2 linked regions of the Mytilus edulis genome follow. The protein of the gene in region 2 binds, or shares a complex with, the protein of the main gene of each other region. Links are inferred from orthologs where the notes say so. Each region holds a gene or a part of one and is shown on either strand. Other genes may lie near its edges.

The links.
Region 1: protein OS-9-like (region 2) and protein FAM8A1-like share a complex: the UniProt entries of both Homo sapiens proteins name them as parts of the HRD1 complex. The link is inferred for Mytilus edulis from reciprocal best matches to the Homo sapiens genes OS9 and FAM8A1.

The regions. Positions count from the first base shown.
Region 1 is NC_092355.1:54,897,684-54,908,493, reverse strand, and holds the start of protein FAM8A1-like, read right to left. Parts: upstream 4,182-10,810; 5' UTR 4,164-4,181; coding exon 3,731-4,163; intron 3,005-3,730; coding exon 2,884-3,004; intron 2,419-2,883; coding exon 2,268-2,418; intron 1,934-2,267; coding exon 1,782-1,933; intron 875-1,781; coding exon 715-874; 3' UTR 1-714. UniProt on the Homo sapiens protein: Plays a role in the assembly of the HRD1 complex, a complex involved in the ubiquitin-proteasome-dependent process of ER-associated degradation (ERAD).
Region 2 is NC_092345.1:81,441,069-81,451,938, forward strand, and holds the start of protein OS-9-like, read left to right. Parts: upstream 1-5,685; 5' UTR 5,686-5,720; coding exon 5,721-5,873; intron 5,874-6,678; coding exon 6,679-6,855; intron 6,856-8,749; coding exon 8,750-8,813; intron 8,814-9,965; coding exon 9,966-10,039; intron 10,040-10,870. Other genes in the region: uncharacterized protein, read right to left, coding at 111-168. UniProt on the Homo sapiens protein: Lectin component of the HRD1 complex, which functions in endoplasmic reticulum (ER) quality control and ER-associated degradation (ERAD).

The sequences.
Region 1 (10,810 bases), on a different chromosome or scaffold from region 2:
GATTTAAGTTTAACAAAAATTTAAAATTTATTTTTTTCATCATTAAAGAAACAGATTTTTACATAGTTTTTCATGAATTATCGGATTTATCCATTCTAAAGTTGAATTATAAATTTTAAAGTCCTTGCCAAGGCTCTGACTTTGAAATTAATAATTTACCTATCTTGATTGGATAAATCTGATAATCCATTGATATCAATATAAGAATCTATATATAATTACATAAGGGTGACATATGAAGGTAATAAATTTGAAATGAGTTTTGTTCAACTTAATACCTTATTGCTGATGTTGAAAAGTATCATCCAATCTTGTAATTTATACTATATTAAATTGCTTTTTCATTAAAGTTTGTAACTGCATCTCAATTTCAGCCTTTTTTCTTGGTTTCTGGTGCCAAAAATTTCCCCATATAGCTGGTTTGCTCTGATACAATAAATTTCAGAAAAAAAGAATGTTTTGAAAACTTACATATATGTCAGAAAGTTATTCTAAAATGTATTGGAAAAACAAAATGTCAATTAACACATAATAAATTGTTATAATATGAAGCTTTAAATTTTAATGAAATTGTGATTAAAATTTTATAATCATAATAAAGGGCAATGATAGGTTTTGTAAAACAACATCATCATAAAAACACATTACATAAAACATAAAACAAATAGAATTGTAACAAATAGTATCTATCATATTAAAATTAACATATATTTGCTATCGCACATTTCGCTGAACTGGACGTATGTGCTCCACAACTATTGTCTTGGCTAAAATGTCATATGCTGCTCGGTTATGTTGGAAAAAGAACACAGTTAAACAGGCAGGAAAAAAGAATGCTAGTGTGAAATTCTTTATCACAGATCTGACCAAGGCACTGAAAAATAAAATATAACATTGTCAATATTTAGATCCATTCTAATGAATTTTTTCCATACTATTGTCATTTCTTAAAAGTCATAAGCTTAAAAAAAAAATATATTGAAATTTAGTATCATAATGTTTCCAATTAACCATATAATATTTTAAGTCTTGCAGACATTCAGATTTGTCCATAAACGGTAATTTCTCTAGAAGTTTGAATCATATCTTAAAATTGTAGAAAGAAACTGCAGATATAATTCTATTAAATAGTTATATTTCAATAAAAACTTGAAAACATTTTTATTTAAAATATAATTTGTATTTTTTTAGTGTAGAAACACTTTCGACCTCTGACTGAAAAATGTATTAAAAAATATGAGAGATTATCTCCCTTTGACTAGATAATTTCAACTTTGTATGTTAAATTAACATGTTTTAAGGGGTCATAAAAACGTAAATATATTTAAAATTGTATTACTCTATTATTATTTTAATATATAAACACTAACTGATTAAAGAAAGAATAACTGCAATTTTTTTATTCTCAGAAACCTTTTATTTAACATGTTTAAAGCACTCTGTTAACATTAGGTATATATATCCCTTAAAACAGGGTTTAATACCATATCAAATCTATTTTGTTCAAATACATGTACTCTTCTCTTTTTTTGTATGCTACTTTATATTTACCGGTCTGTATGTTTGGATATTTCTACCATTTCAAGTATCTTCAAATTTATGTTAAGAATCAAACTGCAGATCAATCAAATTCACATCTGGTTTACAAAATTAGAAGCCTTGTATCTTTAAAGAGTTTTACCATAATGTCATAATTTTTTTAAGCAAAATATATATTTTTTGGTTCCATTTGATTATGCAAACTTGGACAGTTATATTGTCAATTCTATTTGAAAACTTACTTAATAAAGCCTATATCCTCTGCAGGAATGACTAAAACTTTCCCGTTCCCCAGATCCATGATATTTTCACACGATACAACCACCATTCCAAGGAGTCTTTTTCCAGGAGTGGCTCCACCTGGTGATCCCATTCCTTTCCGCAAGCAGAACGTCTAAAATGAAAAAGAGAAATTTCAAATTATTAATGGTTTTTTTAACAACAAACAGGAGTAAAATCATTGAACTATAACAAGTAATTCTTTATCTTATAGAAAGTTGTAAATACTTTCCACTTGATATCATCAACATACATGTCTGCAACAGTTTTCACAATTCTTTGCTCTAAACATAAATGCTGGCTCTCTCTTACATCTTTTTTAAACTTCACAAACATGATACATGTACAAGGACCAACCAACTGATTCAGAACTCTTGCACATACATATTAAATTCTTAGACAAACTTTCCCCTTCCTTCTAAACATTCAAAGTTGAAATACAGTTGTACCTCAAATAAAGTGATCATTATTCTGTTGACGATTTCTAAAGCTATTATTTCTGACGTCATTGTAAAGGCTTTATCTATGTCCATCTCCATGTTTTTCAGGTCAAAATATGGGACAACATCAATATGAACATTCAACACATTTTCTGTTTTTCTGAAAGAAAAATAAATATTTATAAATGTATATATACCATATAGATAAAGCTCATTAAAACTTCAAAATTCAAATAAATTCTGATTCCTAACATTTGATTAAACATCACAGTATCATGTGTATATGAAAGAGTATAAAAGTGCCAAGAAAATATCCAAAAAAAATTAAATCATACATTGTATATATACATTTCATAATATAGGGTTTACTCCAGGTTGGAGGCTGTACAATTTTCATTGAAGTAAAAGGTTTCTACCCATCCCTTAAGGGGCAAAATTCACTCGTCACAACTTGGCTGATTCCGTACCTTCATCTTAGATAGGAGAGTAGTGGATTCACCAAAGGATTGCCGATACAAAATATAATATAAAATTGATGACTAAAAATTACATTTTGAAATAACCACAACTAAAAGATAGTAATATAATCGGTTATAATGATATAATGATATAACAAAAAACTTACAAAATACCCATTTGTCTCATCACCATAATCATGATTATGATTTTCAGGTAAAATAATACAATAAAGTCTATCACTTCTGCTAGAACTCTCTTCCATAAGGGTGGTAACATATATTCTGTACCTGAAATTTCAAAATGGAAATGCATTACATCATGTACATGGTCCATCAAAATGAACAGACAAGCTACATATACATGTATGCATGTATGTTTATGCCATAAATTTACTTTACTACAGACTTATCTGTGCACTTGTAAAGTTAGAGCATACATCATTTAATAATCAATGCCAAAAATAAATTACAAATGTAAGTCTTTTGACTGTATAAAAAGAAACTTACAAAATGTTAATTTTATTCTGTAGCATGTGTCATGTGTGTAGGTTGGCGCCTTTTTTTTTTGCACATTACTTTTACATCATACATGTACTTTAGGAATGTAGCATCACATGTACTCATATTTCATAATTCAGCGCCATTTTGCTATTAAGTCCAATATCAGGCGCTACCCTGATATACCCTGTATTTTGTTTTTGATATTAACGACACGTTAGCCAAATAGTTATTTTATTTTACTTTATTCATTGGAGTTTGTTGTGACGTCCCTATTCATTGAACCAAGGATTTGTATAGTAAGATCTTACTATACAAATCCTTGATTGAACTAGTACATATTTTGTTTAGGAGCCTGCTGAAGCAAGCCTCCGGGTGTGGAATTTTCTTACTGTGTTGTTGGCTGTTTTTCTGTTATTAGTTTGGTCACATGCTAGTTGTTGGTCTCCTTGACACATTCCCCATTTCCATTCTTAATTTTAAATATTAATTAGGCAACACAAATTTCTGAAATACCTAATCTATTTGTTGTTGTTCCTTGTCCTGTAGAAACGTTTCTCTGATTTCGATTTTGAGCCTGAGGGGTTGCACCGATCTGATTATGAATAATTGGGTTAGTAGTTGGATAAACAGGCGCAGAACCAAACGATTGAAATGTCTGTTGGCCCCCGAACTGAAAACAGCTCATTGTCTGGTGGGGGAAAGTTGGTGGTAAAGTTGAAATAGCAGTCCATAATCTGTACTGGTGAATCCATGGGGCCAGTTGCCGAGCATATTCACGCATGTTTATTGTGTTTTTGTTTTCTTCTCGTGTTGATTGTTTGTTGGATCTTTGTTTAAAGTTGTTTTGTCCATTTTCTGGGTTTTCTGTAAAGTTCTTGGGGCTAAAATCTGAGTTTTTCATTGTTTTCTTGTCCATTTCGCTGTATTTTTTCTTCTTTTCCGCCATACTGTCAAAACTGGTGTGACTAATCACCATTCAATCTGTAAAATGAGATAGACCAAAACGATCCCAAATTTATGGGAATATTAAAAATCATTTGTGCATGACTGAAGCGGGCATCCTCTAAGGGCAGTCAGTGCTCCCTTCCCCATTTGAAAATTTCTAGATCTGCCACTGCAAGTTGTTTCAATGATAACCATGAAAATTATATTTTAAAATAATCCACAGCAGGCTTCCCTCTTGTAAATCAGCCTATGTTTTACAATTTGGACAATGGACAGATGATTATTGCAAATATATAAGTAGACATAGTATGAAAAAAGACCAAATACGCTTTCTAATGTGCGTTATAATTTTAGAATGTAGGACAGAAAGTCACAGGACAAAAAGTCACAGACAAAAAGTCACAGGACAAAAAGTCACAATTCATTTTTTCTGATTATTTTCTTTGAATAAAAAATGTTTATTTTCACAAAATTATTTTTGTATTTTTCTTGAACTATTGTATATAAACCAACTTTATAAACAAAATTTTTCAAAAACATATCTAAGATGATCAAATAATTGTTAAAAAAAACAAAATGTCAAAGTGTCTTGGCACTTAAATTAATGGCTTCATGATGCCAAGAAATCTTTCTTTTGCATGATTGAAATTAAATAAATCTTCGTTTGTCAAATATAATGACACACTTCCTTAACTTTAATATAAATATATGTATTAAAAAGTTAATATTTCACATGTTTCAAGATATTTCTCTTATATAAATGTATTCAAACAATTGTCAACAGATTATTTGTGACTTTTTGTCCTGTGACCTTTTGTCCTACCAAATTTGTGACTTTATGTCCTGTGACTTTTTGTCCTGTGACTTTCTGTCCGTTTACCTAATTTTATAGGAACTCAGCATGACGCTTTTGGATTGTAAAGCCGATTAATCAGGAATATTTGTAGAAAATAAACGCTATCAAAACATGCATAAATCAGTTAGTTATCTATGTTTACAATTTTAATATTTATTAAGGTAGCACAATACAAAGATATTTCATCCCTAATCAGACATCTTTAAACTGATGTAATTCCACTCATCCTTCTTTAAATTTTATAAATGAGGTACCAAAAGAAAGAAGAAGGATTAATCTTTCAAATTGTGATAATTTCATTATGACATAATTATTACACAATTAATTGTTATGTAATTATTTGCTATATTGTGATGTCCATACTTGAATGAATTTAGCATCTTTGTTATTCATAGCATCCCAAAATATTTTATAGATTCTTGCACAACACAGTTTGACCTCCAAAACTGTGTCTCAGATTTTTCCTATTGTATTTCATTCTCTCATAAATCTTCAATGAAGTTCGCAACATCAATTCATAGAGATCACTAAATTCAATTGGGTATAAAATTTGTTCTATTGATGTTTTTGGAAATCTGAGACACAGTTTGGGAGGTCAAGCTGTGTTGTACAGGAATCTATAAAATATTTTGGGATGCTATGAATAGTTAAGACGCTAAATTCATTCAAGTGTGGACATCACAATATAGCAACTAATTACATAACAATTAATTATGTAATAATTATGTCATAATGAAATTAACACAATGTAAAAGATTGATCTTTCTTCTTTCTTTTGGTACCTCATTTATAAAATACAAAGAAGGATGAAATGAATTACATCAGTTTAAAGTTGTCTGATTGGGAGTGAAAAAATCTTTGTATTGTGCTACCTTAAGTCTGTGGATTTTTTGCAAAAAAAATCTCTTTAGGGTACACTTTTTCTTTAAAAAAAAAAGGGGGGGATATGAGTCAGAAAATAAAAAAAATAACATTATAAGGTATGGTGAAAATCTAGATTCAGAACATTTTTTTTGTTATCTGCTTGACCACTTTTTTTTTCTTTTTTTTATAAAATTAATTGTTTTTAAGAAAAACCATACCCTCCTGAAGTTAAACATTTAAATTGTCGTCAGTTCCTTATTGATTTGCTACTTATGTACAGCAAATTCCCCATTTCTATAAAGATCAATTATCCTTTCTACAAAAATATAGAATAAAAGTGACGTGCCGTCTTGTACATACATCAAAGGAATAATGTTAAGTGTCTCATTCAATTGAATAAAAAATCTCAGACTTTGTATATATGATATCTATTAAATAAACAATGAAGTTTTATTTAATATTTGTTTCTGTTCTCTATGAACATATCCACGCACGTTCTGATATAATGTCAGAAATATAAGTAAGAATTTCATAATTGGGCGTTTTTTTTTAATAAAAGCGTGACTTTCAGACCTATAAAAACGGAAAATCAAATTGTCTAAAATTATTTCAAGGGTTATTTCATTATTTTGAATACCTCTATTATAGACCTATTTGTAAACAAAAAGTGCAATCTTAAATACTCTTTAAAATGATATTATTTTCATAATTTGTCTACTGTTTCGTAAAAAGTCCCCTACGAAACTGCTTGTAAACACACATATTATTGCAATTTTAAATGTTTGCTATAGACATTCCAGTTTGTTTACTTTTATATATACTAGAAAAATCTCATTTTTTCTGAATCGGAGAACCATTTTTATCGATAAAGATTAGACAGTACTTCACATATGAAGGTACAACTCATGTTTCGTAGTGGACATTTTGATGCGTTTCGTAGTTTACAAAACCGTTTTGTAGTGGAGTTGGACATCAACCCTATTCCATATTAATAAAAAAAAAAAAAAATTACATGAAACTAACCCTTATTATTTGTTTTGCACGAGTAAAATTGAAAAAAAGAGTAAAAAAAGGCTGCATGGTAGTGGTAGTGTCCACTACGGAAACGTTTTTCTCCCATACTTATTTCGTAGGTGACCGTTTCGTAGGGGACATATTCACATGTTTTATTTTTTACCAACAATCCCTGTATTGCAATAGTAACAATACTGATTGTATTCATCAAAACATGTATTAAGCTGTACACTGATATTTTTTTCATAATTTTAAAACCAGATTCTGAAAGAGATTTGACCCGTTTCGTAGTGGACATTAACAAAAATACGGTATCACTCTGGTCCATTTGATGTGCTCAATTTTTCTTACCAACAATTTAATTGCCGTTATAAAAGCATCAATTCTTTTGTAAGACCCTAATGTTTATATCTCTTGCAAACAAAATTATATTGATTTTATAAAACTGTTTATTAGCAAATTTTAATGACTTCGTTTCGTAGTGGTCATTTTGTCAGGGACACACCTTCTGAAATTAAAAATCCTATGTTAAAAGCTGTTTATAAAATTATGTTGGCTCTAAACATACTTTTGAATTATCAAAGAACTTATATTAAGTAAAAATAACATTTATTTCTACATTTTTTTACGATATTTTAGAGTATGAATGTTGAACAGGCGGTCTAAGGATATGCCATTTTGCCGGGTTGTTTTGGACCATTCAGGAATCAATATCTTATCAATCCCTCTAAAAAATAAACTGTTTCTTTGCTTTAAAATGTTAAATCTAATTCAATGTACTGACTGCACAAACATGCAATTACTTGCAAAGATCAAACACATTTTTTTAAAAGTGGCTGGGACAAGAAAGTACGTTTTTATTGAAAAACGCCCAATTAAGATAATACAACAAAACTTATCCATTTGATTTTCAGGTTGAATTGAATCATACTGACGAATAACCTTTAAAACATGCCTCTAAATCATCATTTCAAGACTTAAATTGTCAATTTAGGCCACCATATGTATATATACTTGATCAAACAAACCAATCTGTTGCTAAATAAACTAGTATACGTTGAACAAGCGGTTTCAGATGTTTTTATTGCATCCTCAACGGAGTTGTGGTGACGTATTGGTATTCTACGTTTCTTTTTATTTATTTCACCCCTATGGAAATAGGGGTGATATATTGTTATTGTTCCGAATTATTCTTCCACACTTTTTGTCCAGCTTAGTTCTCGGAGATGACTTGATATACATTGATAAAACTGTACCATAGTGACAATTCCCATGTGCAGATGTGCAGTGAGGGTCTGGAATTTTCAAGATGGCCGCCGTAACCACGGAAAGGGCAAAAATGTGAAAAACCGAAAAATGCTCAAAATTAAATGAAACTTTCAGACATTATAACTCATCATTCGAAAGCATGAAATCCATCTTAAAAACTTTCAAAATGGCTACCGTTGCCATGGAAACAGTCCAAACGTGGAAACTGAAACGAAAATAATTCCTCAATTAATTCATAGTAAATCAACCGTTACAGATACGACCCCCAAACCTACCCCCGCGTAACAAGAGTATGAACGGTAGAATTCATTGCCGTTGGAATTTTTGAGATTGCTACTGTTACCATGGAGATAAGGATAAAAGTGCAATGTTGACCCATATGGGAAAAAACGTCAAAGTACCATTTTCTTACAAATTTTAAGCTCATTCCCGGTTAAATGCTATTGGAACGGCATCTGTCCTTGCCATTTTCAAAATGGTTTTTGCCGCCGTTGTCATGGAAACGGCAAAATAATAAACATAACACACTTCGCAAATTTGAGTCAAAATTCTGTAATCATGAGTATGTGCATACGATCAAATACAAATCTAGCTGTACTGCAAAACATCTTCTAGAATATGCTAGAATAAAACTAATATATTTTTTGACGTGCTTCTATTCTTTACAAAAATCGTGCTTTGAAGAGAAAATCGCCACTGAGAGAAACACATGAGAAAGAGAAACACGAAGAGTACACGTAAGTGACATTTCTGCACTTGCACTAAAGTACACATTCGTTAATCGAACACCTGCTACAATATACACATTAGGCAGCAACCATTTGATTTTCTTGGGGGGGGGGGGGGGGGGGGGGGCTATGATTTTTTTTTGGAAAAAAAAGTTTGTTTCCAGTTTTTGGAGAAAAAAATAATTCGTTTTGAATTCTGAAAAAAAATAATTGTTTGTTACCCCCTCAGCTGCCACTATATGTAATGCTAAAATTGAAAGAAAAAAATTGTTTTCGACTTGTTTGTACAGAAAAAAAAAACATAGCCCCCCCCCCCCCCCCCACCCGGAAATTAAATAGTTGCTGCCTTAGCTGAAATCAATCGATAAGCGTGTAATTAAATTGTACAAAATAAGATACATGTATCGTGTGATACGCGAGCTATTGAAGAACAAAATGAACAGTTAGTGTGTCGCTCTGTCAACATGGTCAATATATACACATGTTGTCTGTCCAAGGTCCCCTCTAAAAAGAATATTAAAGTCCACGATAATATACTTCAGTATCACGTGACACCACTTTTCTTCCTCGCGCGTGTGTCTAATTTAAGATTTTAAAGAGTTCCCCGACCATATATAGACATCAATCTTATTCTACGAGAAGAGAAAAAATGGGGGGGGGGGGGGGGCAAAGGCATGTATACAATGTACTAGACGTGCCCTGTGACTTTGGTACGCTCAAATCGGTTGTTGCTGCTGTGCCAATGTCCAGAACGGGGTGACATCATCCGTTATTGCTTGCAATGGCAAATCTAGTCTTCTTTTTATTTTTCTTCCACACTTTTTTGTCCACTCTGGATCTCGGAATTGAAAAGACCCAAGTTGATGGAACAATATATAACTACCATGGGCAGATGTGCAATTGGCCGTTGCCATGGAAACAGCAAAAACGCGAAAAAGTGGAAAGTGTTCCAAACTCAATGAAACTTTTCGTAAATGGTAACTGCTTTGTGTAGAAAATACAGTTCGACAAAATGGCCGATGTTACCATGGAAACAGCAATTATGTCCAAAATTTCTCAATGCTTTAAACTCAATGAAACTTTGCAATAATGTTAATTGGCATGTGTAGATGTCCGCTTTGATATTGCAATTTTCAAAATGGCTACCGTTACCATTGTAATTGGGGACGAGGGTGCTATCTGTTATTGCTAGCAATTACAAATCTATAGTTACTCTTATTATCGGTGCTCCAAGCAAAAATTTGACAAATAAGAATAAAGACCATCTCAAAAATAAAGATTCTAGAAAGTTGAGTCTGATGCGCGGCTAAGACGTTGGCATGGTTGTAGTAAAATGTTTAAAGTAGGTATAGGGGATGATCAAGAAATGTTCATAAGTAGGGGGCCACTGACTGCCTAAGAGGGGCCCGCTCCCGTCACGCTTCAGTGATTCCCTATGTAGTAACCAACCAAAACTTTCCCACAAAGGGGGGGGGGGGGTCCCTCTGCCCTCTCTAAATCCGCCAATGATAAACGAATATTTATGTTTTGGTACTGTAAATTTAGAAATTATTGCGTGTATTTATTATTGCGACTTTGTAAATTTAGACTGAAATGCGATTTTTATTTTTGCGATATTGAGAAAAATCCTGTTTAATTTGTAAAAACCAAATTTCAAATTAAAATGCGACTTTAAATTATTGCGATTATAACCCTGTCGCATTTTTCGCAATAATATAACATCGCAATAATTTCTGAATTTACAGAGTTTACTAAATCGGGAACATATATATTGTTAGATATACTGTTCCCAGACTAAATGCAATATATATCTTTTAAAAGGTGCACACGAATACTATTCAACGACTCCCCTGTGCAGTTTTACATTTCAGACATAGGTACTGATCGCAGAACATTGTTACATGTTGGCGTCTCAAC
Region 2 (10,870 bases):
ATGTTTTAAACCAACTATAATGCTTCATTGACATTCAGCAACACTAAGACGTACTATATCTACAAACAAAAACAAGTTTGTTCAAAACATAAAACTTTTAGAATACTCACAATGAAGAGCTTGCAGAGCTATTATTACAATACATGGCCTTAAATGCATTTTACACATAACCAAATACTATGATACACACGCTTTTTACCTGTAAGTTACCTTTTCTTTAAATGTATGTCAGATGCACATGTGTGTTGTTGGAGTTACATATGTACTTTAAGTAATCGATCTCCATGTTTGTATTTTTACAAGAGTTTCAAATCAGGTTTGTAAAGATTTTATTTTGCTTAAATGAAAACACTTTATGGAAATGAAAGATTTATTCAAAATATGAATTAATTAGACAGTAACTAAACAAGTTAAATTAAACCTCATAAAAAAATATCTTGAGATTAATATATGCATCTAACAATTTTATAGACTAGTACATGTCGCAATCGGCCCGAGTCTAGGCAAGTTGTGAAGAAATACAACAGAAACTAACAAAGTCCCAGCAAGCAATACCTAAGTTGTGGTATCATACCTGAATAGCGAGCCACGGTATCGAAGTTATAGTATAGAAACAAGCGATAGCCTTTCAAAAAGTGCTATATTCGACTCTTAGCTGATGACAATGGAAAGAGCTCTCGCTTTGTAGATTAATTCATTTACTAGAATAGCCAGGTGCATCAATCAACAAATTTTACCACACACGTGAGGTCACACGTTATGAAATAGTATCGTTTAACGTTGTTGTTTACTCCAGAAGATTCGTCTATTCATAGATAAAAGTTACCTGTGTAAAATCTAATTGCTAAGATAGAGACGACAAATCCGATACTCTACGGGATTGAAGGACATTTACTAGGTTTGGATTGTCCTAACCAATCAATAAATTTTGATTATTCACGACTCGTAATATCTTCCAATCAGGTAGCAAGAAAAATTCACGTCATAAGTGTCCATCGTTCAATTCTTAAGGAATTAAAATATGCAGTATTACACCCTCCGTCATCAAAAATGTTTAATTAACAATTTGCACAGGTTTGGTTTCCTCCGAGTCAATTTTGCCACTTAATTAAATATACATGTATATATCGCAAATAGCTTGTAACGTCGTCTATCTACAGCCAGGTTTCAAATCGTCAAAAGAAAAACAGAGAATAATATAACAGTGAAACCTGTTTAAACCAAACCTTTTCGGGACTTAAGATTATGTTCAGTTTTGGCCGATGTTCGGTTTTATCAGGTTCACCGTGACAACTCGTACAATTTGATATGACGGTGCTTAAGAACATTTTTGGTTCATACAGGTTTTCGGTTTATGCAGGATTCGGTTAAGCCAGGTTTCGCTGTACATAAAAAAAAATTCAATGATGGACCTGAAAGCCTGGTCATTTCTGCATGTTATGAACATTCAAGTTTAATTGAGAAAAAAACCGAAATCAGATTAACAAATTCACTTGTTTGATATAAGCTTGAACGCTTGAAACGGTTTTTGGAACAACGTCAAAATGCTCTTATGATAGGGACGTCATGAAATACTCGCTTGTAACAACATCGTGCGAATCGTCGTCATCGTCTTTCGCTAACAGGCTTTATCTGTCATCTATGAAGAATACTCGACCACTGCTCGTCATCAGATAGTTCAACATCTGCTGCCATTAGATATAAGAACCTAAATCTAGCTCCAATGTATTTGCATTCCTTCTATCTAATTTGCGTTGAATTTGATGTATCTCCATTAGAGGAGTTCTAAAGTCCTATAATGGAAGAATTGGAATGTCCATTGGCTCCATGCGAGGAGTTGTCTGATGTGTCGGTATATGTATAACGGGTGGGTCTGCTCTTTCCAATGATTTGTCTGTAGTCTGCAGTGTTGGTACAGTGGTTGGACCTTTGTTTTTGAGGTATTCATAATCTGTGTCTGTCAATGTCAGAAAACTGATCCAATTTTGTCTGTTTCCGTAAGACATAGGGAGGAAAAAATGAAAGAGTTTGATGAATGGTGTGTAGATGAACGGATGAATGCTTGTAGCATATGGAGGCAAAATAAACTTCCTGTACATCTTGGAATGTTTTATAGGTATGCCTTGTATACGCAAAACTGAAAAAGAAAAATAAGATTTTGTTGTAAAATAATGTACACTTTATGTGCGTTTTTTTATTTATTACAATAGTATTTTTTGTCTATTGGTGACAACTGCATATTGTAGTTGTATCAAAGATCTAATTAATTGTCATAACTATTTCAGTTACAGAGTACGACAGGGTTGTCCTTTTCTCCCTACCATATATGTTGTAAAACCTTATGAGTGAAATGTTATTTGATGTCTTAAAGATACTTCCAAATATACCTCTTAAACACAAACTTTTAGTATAAATCAGAAATTTAAAAATAAAAATGTTACAATTTGCTAATATCGTTTTAACCTACCTGAATTAACCGCTAAAACCCAAATGATAATAGATGACTTGAAAGTCATAATGTTATCTGCAGCTTTGTCTATATAATGGTTATCCTTTGTGTTACACCAAGAACACTATATTATACATATATAAACAGTAAGCCTATATAGATCTATATAGGAATACAGGTATTATATGGTACATAATTTTAGAATGAGTCTTTTTGCGTAATATGACGCACATAGTGACAATGGGTTTTATTATTAGTAACGACCAATGACATTGAACTATTTTTAATTAATGTAACTATTGGTGCAAAAAAAATGAATGGTGTCATAACTTTTGAACACATACAACTCCAAATGTGTTGCGTTTCGTGCGCTTATATACAAATGTAATTATTAAACAGGGTTTTATTTTAAAAGGATGTCAACTCAAAATTGTTATGAATGTCAAGTTATAGTCTACGAATTGTCGAATATCAAAATCCAAATTTAAATCTTACGGAAGCCTTTAAGGGCCATGTTCAATTACTTTATACAATTTGATATAACAAATTATTAATTTGATATAACAGATTATCAATTCGATATAACAGATTATCAATTCGATATAACAGATTATCATATACTTAGACTAAATAACCTATAAATTTTACCGTATGATAATAGCATTAAATTGACGTAAATTCCATATTTTTCGAATTGGTGCTTAGCGGGCTGATATGAAAAATTTATCAAATGCTTATCACATGCCTTTCCGTAACGTTATCACGTGGCATTCCGGTAATACTCGGCCAATTCCGGAAAATACACCTCAATGCTACGTTTTCAGTGAAAAACATTACAAAGTAGTGTACAAAACAACTATTTGAATACTGGAAAGAATATTGTTTAAAATCATAAAAAAAAAAAAAAATAATAATAAATGCATTTTTTAAGTTTTTCTGAAACATAATTTAGAAAGTTTCTTTAAAAAGTTGACTTTTCCAAACAATGATCATTATGTATATTGTTGAATTATTTTTTTGTCGATTCGTCCATAATAAATGGGTTTTTTTTTCTCGCTCTGTTGAGACATATGATAGAAAGATTTCATATTGAATGTATCAAATTTTGGGTCCGACGGCCGTGAACTTTTTTACTCTTTAAACTTCTGGAACCACGTAAAAGGATCAATATATGAATCTGTTATTTTTTTCTACTGTTGAAGCATATGATAAAAAGATCATAACATGTCATTTTTCATATCGCATGTATTATCAGCCCTCGGTCAATATCAGCCCTCGAGCCATGCGGCTCTTGGGCTGAGTATTGAACCTAGGGCTGATAATACATGCAATATGAAAAATGCCATGTAATAATATACAATTACTGTCTTTTGATGAGGTAAATATGCGGTTTTATTGACTTTTGAAAAATTGATATTCACTGAGGCCGACGGCCGAAGTGAATATCAGTTTTTCAAAAGTCAATTAAACCACATATTTACCGAAACAAAAGACAGTAATTGTTTTATTCCATATTCCGAGGAGATAAAATGTATTTGATGACAAACATAATACCAAAACAAATTTTACATGAAACATTTTACCATAACGTAGCATGTAAAAGCGCGTGACGTTTAGCGCGGTGAATAACACTTTCTCAGGTGAATATGCTTTTTTATTCAAAGTCCAATTCATATAGAGAAACCTACTAAAATAATACCAATATGGAATAATCTGATATTATCAATTTGGTATAACAGATTTTCAATTTTGATAATTATAACAATTTGTAAATTTGATATAACAAATTATTAATTTGATATAACAAATTATTAATTTGATATAACAAATTATTAATTTGATATAACAAATTATTAATTTGATATAACAAATGACCAATTTGATATAAAAAATTGTGAATTTCTCTACCAATAGGATAATTTTATCATAATAATGATTAATTTAAATATTGCATAACCCAAACTGGCGCATTTCGTGTACTAATTGATTGTTCATCGGACGTGCAGTGACAAATATCTAAGATCATCTAATGCATATTCAAAACTCAATTTACAGGTTTATTGTTTCTGTAACTCATCCTCCTCCCTTTTTTCTCCTTTATTTGATACATTTTTTTGGGGACTAGTTTCCCAATTTCGTATATGGGACTTTGTGTCTTAGAACGAACAAGTATAAGAGAGAAAAGGGCCTGTTTGATCAATATATATTGCATATTTTCAAAGGAAAACAAAGAGTTCTATTGAGATATTGCTTTTTCTAGGACCATAGGAACATGCAAGGATAAAAAAATATGCTTCACCTTCTTGAAAAAGCCTGGCATGATGCTTTAATGATTTCAACAGGAACATGAAAGGATAAATATTATAAATTTAGCTTTAACATATATTTTTTATTTGGATTTTTAAAAATTAAAATAAAGAAACATGCGTGAGATTTTTAATGATTGCTGACTTCTAATTAATTAATTAATTAGACCACTATGAGGTCCAAATTTTATATATTTGCTCAAAATTCGGATTTGTGTCGAAAGGAAAAATACGTCCACAAATCCGAATTTAGAGCAAATATATAAAATTTGGACCTCATTTTACTCAAAAAGTAGCACATTAAGGTAATTTTTTATAACATATTTGATTTAATCAGCCAAATAATAGCCTATATGCAAATTGTCATCAAAATTTCAATATGGGATCAAAATTGTATCGTATGCCCTTACCTTTTGAAGTGCAATGCCAACGGTCGTTCCCGAAATATATTTCATTTGAACTTATTATTTTACTTCAGACAAAAACTACAGTATATGTAGGACATAGTCTAGGTAACCTGGCATTTAAGGTAGCAGTAGCACTTCCCTCATATGATCATAAACTACTTAAAACTTTTTTTGAATTCTTCTATCGTTATATTCTTGTTTAATATGTCTCTGTCGATATTAAGATTTGGTTCTGAAGTTGGCTGTACCTATCTTTTTGTATATTTGTTATATTATCAATTTTTACAATTTTTCTTTGTTTTACTTATTTTATAAACCCTATATTTAAATTATCACATACTTATATTTGTAAACTAAAATTAAATCCATAGAACACAAATTTGAAATGGTCCAAATAAAAATCACTCAAGAAGGATCATCGAAACTACTAAAGAAATTCAAACTGCAAATATCAGGATCTGGGGAAGAAAAGTGATACGAGTTTTGTCAATACCCTTTCTCCATTCGGAATTAATCTTGTCGCGTAATCATACGCATGCGTATTGAACCAAAACAAACATGGATCACTTTTCCAGCTTCACAATCTTCCTATTACTTTCACAATGTTTTGGAAATATAGTAATGTTTTCAGGAATGTTAGATATAGAAGAAATAAACAACGTAAATTATGGAATCGATATTTTAAAAGAGCCAGTGTTGTTAAAGCCGGAGGTACAAATATGCAGGTTTTCTATACATCCCTCAACATATTTTTTTTTAGCAAATTCGGCCTGAGAAGATCTGAAAACACAGTTATTTTGTTGTGCATTTCTTTAAACCATAAATCTTAATTAAGAAAAATCTCACCTGTGATTTCTCAATTATATTTTTAAACTTTGTTGTGCTACTTTATATATTATAAATTATATCAAAATTATAGAAAACTTCATTATAAATTAAGATTTGTGTATCTTACTATACAAATCCTTGTTCAGCTTACTGTATACACATATTGATTAAAGAACTTATAATATTGCTTTTTTGGAAACTTCAGACCCTTGACCCAAGAATCTGTGACACTTGTCGAACTATTGATGTCATTGAACTTGACGTCGTGCATCAACCAACTTTTCATTGCAGAGTCTGGCATGTCCTGTTGTGATTTAACAAATTTTACTGGAACATTTGTGATGTCCAGTAATGATGGACAAATAGCGATATTAAGGTCACTGGTGTATTGTGTGTTAAAGGAAGGTTGACTATCCAAATAATACATACAGACAATTTTATATTTACCAGTGAGAGGCTTATTGGTAGTGTAAATTATTCTAAAATTTAATTTGTATTCTGTATGTTGCCCCATTTTAGCCATATTAGGGATGTCATGCACATACATCTTGTGATACCCATTGGATCCACAACTAGTTAGATATTAGCTACATTTTTTTGTAAATGTCAACATCTAATTAAAAATGAAATTCATTTAACTAAACACTAATGAATTGCTGTTTCTTTATGATGGAATGTATATTTCTAGGTAGAATTGCCGGTAAATCACATCCATTTAACGTCCAAATATGGACAGAGATATCAATGTCATTTTCCAGACCAAGTGGAAACAGTAAGAAAAACTGAAGAAAAGGAAAAAGAAGCTTTAGAAACTGGAATTCCTGAATTACTTAAACCATTAGAATCTGTACCTTGTTTGCTGAAGGTATATAATTTTTGATGTACTGTTTTAAAGGGACAGATTTTGTTTTTTTTTGCTTAAACTCTATAAAAATAACTTACATCTACATTGTATATAAAGCATGAAACCTTAGGGGATAGGAAATTCTGGAATGTCTATAATTACAGGTATATCATTCAGACCTATATTCAATGCTTTCTGACATAAAATCATTTCAACATATTGATCAGAATGAGACAAAATCGTTTTTACCAATTGTTTTATAATACCTAAACTTGTAAATGCTATTTAAATGGAGCAGAAAGAGAGAGAGGGGAATACACAAGATGATCAATTATTTTAGGAGTTTGGAATTATATAAGCTTCATCAACTGAGTATTTATCAGAAAATGTACCCTGTAAAAAGTGTATGCAAAACAGTGACTAAATGTACATTCAAAAGATTCTAGTTGAAACTAACACTGTAGATAGGCTTAGAATATTTAATTAAAAAAGAAAATTCATATCTGCCTAAGGCCACATATCTTCAAATTTTATAATATTCATTTAGTTCCTTTTTAGCTCACCTGGCCTAAAAGGCCATGTGAGCTTTTCTCATCACTTGGCGTCCGTCGTCGTCGTCGTTAACAATTTTTCAAACATCTTCTCCTCTGAAACTGCTGAATGGATTTGAATGAAACTTAAAATGATTGTTCCTTAGATTATCCTGCACAAAGTGTGTTCTTTAATTTTTGATCCGTCAAAAAACATGGCCGCCGTTACTTAAAATAGAACATAGGGGTCCGATGCAGTTTTTGGCTTATATCTCAAAAACGGAAGCATTTAGAGCAAATCTGACATGGGGTAAAAATGTTTATTAGGTCAAGATCTATCAGCTCAGAAATTTTCAGATGAATCAAACAAACCATTGTTGGGTTGCTGCCACTTAATTGGTAATTTTAAGGAAATTTTGCAGTTTTTGGTCATTATCTTGAATATTATTATAGATGAAGATAAACTGTAAACAGCAAAAATGATCAGCAAAGTAAGATCTACAAATAGATTAATATGACCAAAATTGTCAATTGACCCCTTAAGGGGTAAATGTCTTTTAATGACAATTTTTCACAATTTGTTCATCATATTTGCTAACTTTAAAAAATCTTCTCCTCTGAAACTACTGAATGGATTTGGATGAAACTTAGCATGATAGTTCCTTAGATTATCCTGCACAAAGTGTGTGCTTCGATTTTTGATCCGTCAAAAAACATGGCCGCCCTTACTTTAAATAGAACATAGGGGTCAAATGCAGTTTTTGGCTTATATCTCAAAAACGAAAGCATAGAAGAACTGTAAAGTGTACATGTCCAACTGGCAGGTGTCATCTCACCTTGACCTCATTTTCATGGTTCAGTGGTTATAGTTAAGTTTTTGTGTTTTGGTCTGTTTTTCTTATACTATATGCAATAGGTCTACTAAAATTGGTGTATAGAATGATTGTAAGGTGTACATGTCTAGCTGACAGGTGTCATCTAACCTTGACCTCATTTTCATAGTTCAGTGGTCAAAGTTAACTTTTTTAGTTTTGGTCTATTTTTTCAATACTTTATGCATTAGGTCAACTATATTTGGTGTATGAAAATATTTTATGATCTATATGTCGGTTACGCAGGTTTTATTTGAACTTGACCTCATTTTCACAGTCCATTGCTAAGTTTTAAGTGTTTGTGTTTTGGTCTCATTTTCTTTATTTATAAACAGTAAGTCATATATATTTGTAATATTGAAGAATTGTTAGCTGTACATGTTTGCCTGGCATGGTTCAATATGTTCAATAAGGCATTGTTTACCAGGTGAGCGATTCAGGCTCTTGAGAGCCTCTTGTTTGTTTGTTGTATCTTAAATTATTACCTTGAGTACATGTATATATTTTTTTCAGGCAAAGGATTGGTGGAGTTATGAGTTCTGCTATGGGAAATATATCCGACAATTTCATATTGAAGGTATAAAATAGAAATTAAAACTCTAACTGATGTCTGACAGAACTTTGAAATACTCAAATATTGTGCTTCAATAGGAGATGAAGTATTTTAGGTATCCTAGGCTCTTAAAATTGGTTTTGCTGAGTTTTTTTTGACTGAAAGTCGAAGTTAAAGTTTGTGATTTGGTCAGTTTAAGGGGAACCACAAGTTAAAAGTAAATGATATTTGGTCAGCAGTTGAATCAGTATCAGCACATTTTCATTTCCACGAAGATTATTTGGCCCTGCTCCTTCTGACATGGTTAGGGGATACCACCACTCCTTTCATTTAATTGATTGCTTAATATCCTGATCAGAGCTATGCATGAAAAAGGTTAAATACTAAACTTCAAATGATTTCCAAAATTTCATTAACATACTATCCCTGTTTTAAATTAATGTTGAAAATATCGAAAACTCTTTAAGACATCCATATCTTAAATATATCTTTGCTATAACTTTTCAAGTTCCCCAAAAGAGTTTTTTTTTCTTTCTCAGAGGTCATGTAATTCCTCTCTCATATTACAGGTTGCTAAAATGGGTCACATCCACAATGGGCCTGAAATTTAGGGACACAAAAGTTGGGGAGAGCCGCATCATGAAAGGAGTTTCTGGATGTGCTAATTTATAAAAAAATGAATCATACTTCCTTAACCTAACATTTAACCAAATAAAGTGAAACTGTTGCAGCTTCCAAACGAACCATCATACATATCCAAGTATACGATATGGACTGATTTTCAGAAGAAAATGTAATTACAACTGCCTATGGGAAATCAATTATGCATACTGACGTTAAAGACTCTTCAATACTTATTTCCCTTTACAGAACTTAGGACTAGAGTGTTCTTTTGAAGCCTTTCCTTTATTAAAGTGACTGTTGTGAATGATTGTGAGATATTTGTTTTGAATTGGAAAAACAATTCTTTAGTTATAGAATTTTTTGATTTTTTAAACAGTTTTTGCCCATAAAATTTTATGAAAATTCTACAACCTACAAATGTTATGCTATTATGTTTAAACCTAATCCTAATCTTTTCTAATTCTGTCATATTTCTATTTATCTTTAGTTATGGTAAGAAGGTCAAGCTTATCATTTCCTCGTGATTTGTCAGATTTTTGTTTACTTTTTCAGATGGAAAGATACTTGGAGATATTGTATATTTAGGTTACTATGACTCAGAGAAGGACTGGTCAGAAAGAGAAGAGGTAATTGACATACAGTGTAACACTGTTTCACAATCTGTCATCAATGGTAGTTAGATGTATTTTACAGCATCATTATGCATATCATGTGATATAATTTAGGCTAGTTTATTAAACAAAATGTCAGTAAATGTTAACAATTAGTCTCTATCACAATAGAGGACCTACATTTAATCAAGACTTTTAAAATGCAACCTAACCCAATCTGGGGTGTGGAAATATTTGTTGTGAGCACTTGTCCCTGGGCAAGTAAAACTAAAAATTTTACTTGTCCGGAAAAAAATTTACTTGCCCTGATGATCCCAATAAATATTGAAGTATTTCTTGATAGCTAATATATGATTTTTACTTCGCACTATTGTGCATCACAAACGAATGAAATCCATTTGTTTATATGTGTAAAAAATTAGGAAAGAATGAAATGGGTTAACATCAGTGGGACAGAAACCTAACAGCAAACCAACCAATGAAATGACATGTAAAGGACAATTTTGCAGCAGTTTTGGAATAAAAATTGTAGCCAGTAGGTACATAATATACTAAATTTGAGGACAGTGATTTCTTTTTTTTTTAAATACTCTGTGTCCTCCGTTTGCATTTAAGGTTTTCTACTCGACTCATGATTCTTTTTGTCTTGGCTGCTTGCCCAGCTTTTTATTACGTATTTGTCAATCTGAATCTCGATACAAAATTTAAAGAAATGACACAACCGGTAAATGATGGATAACACTTAATCGACGATCCAGGGTCAATGGACAAAGCCAATGCAATGTTACGCGACTCTGGTTCAAATACTTATTGTTATTTATTTTGGCAATCGATCTATTTCCAGTA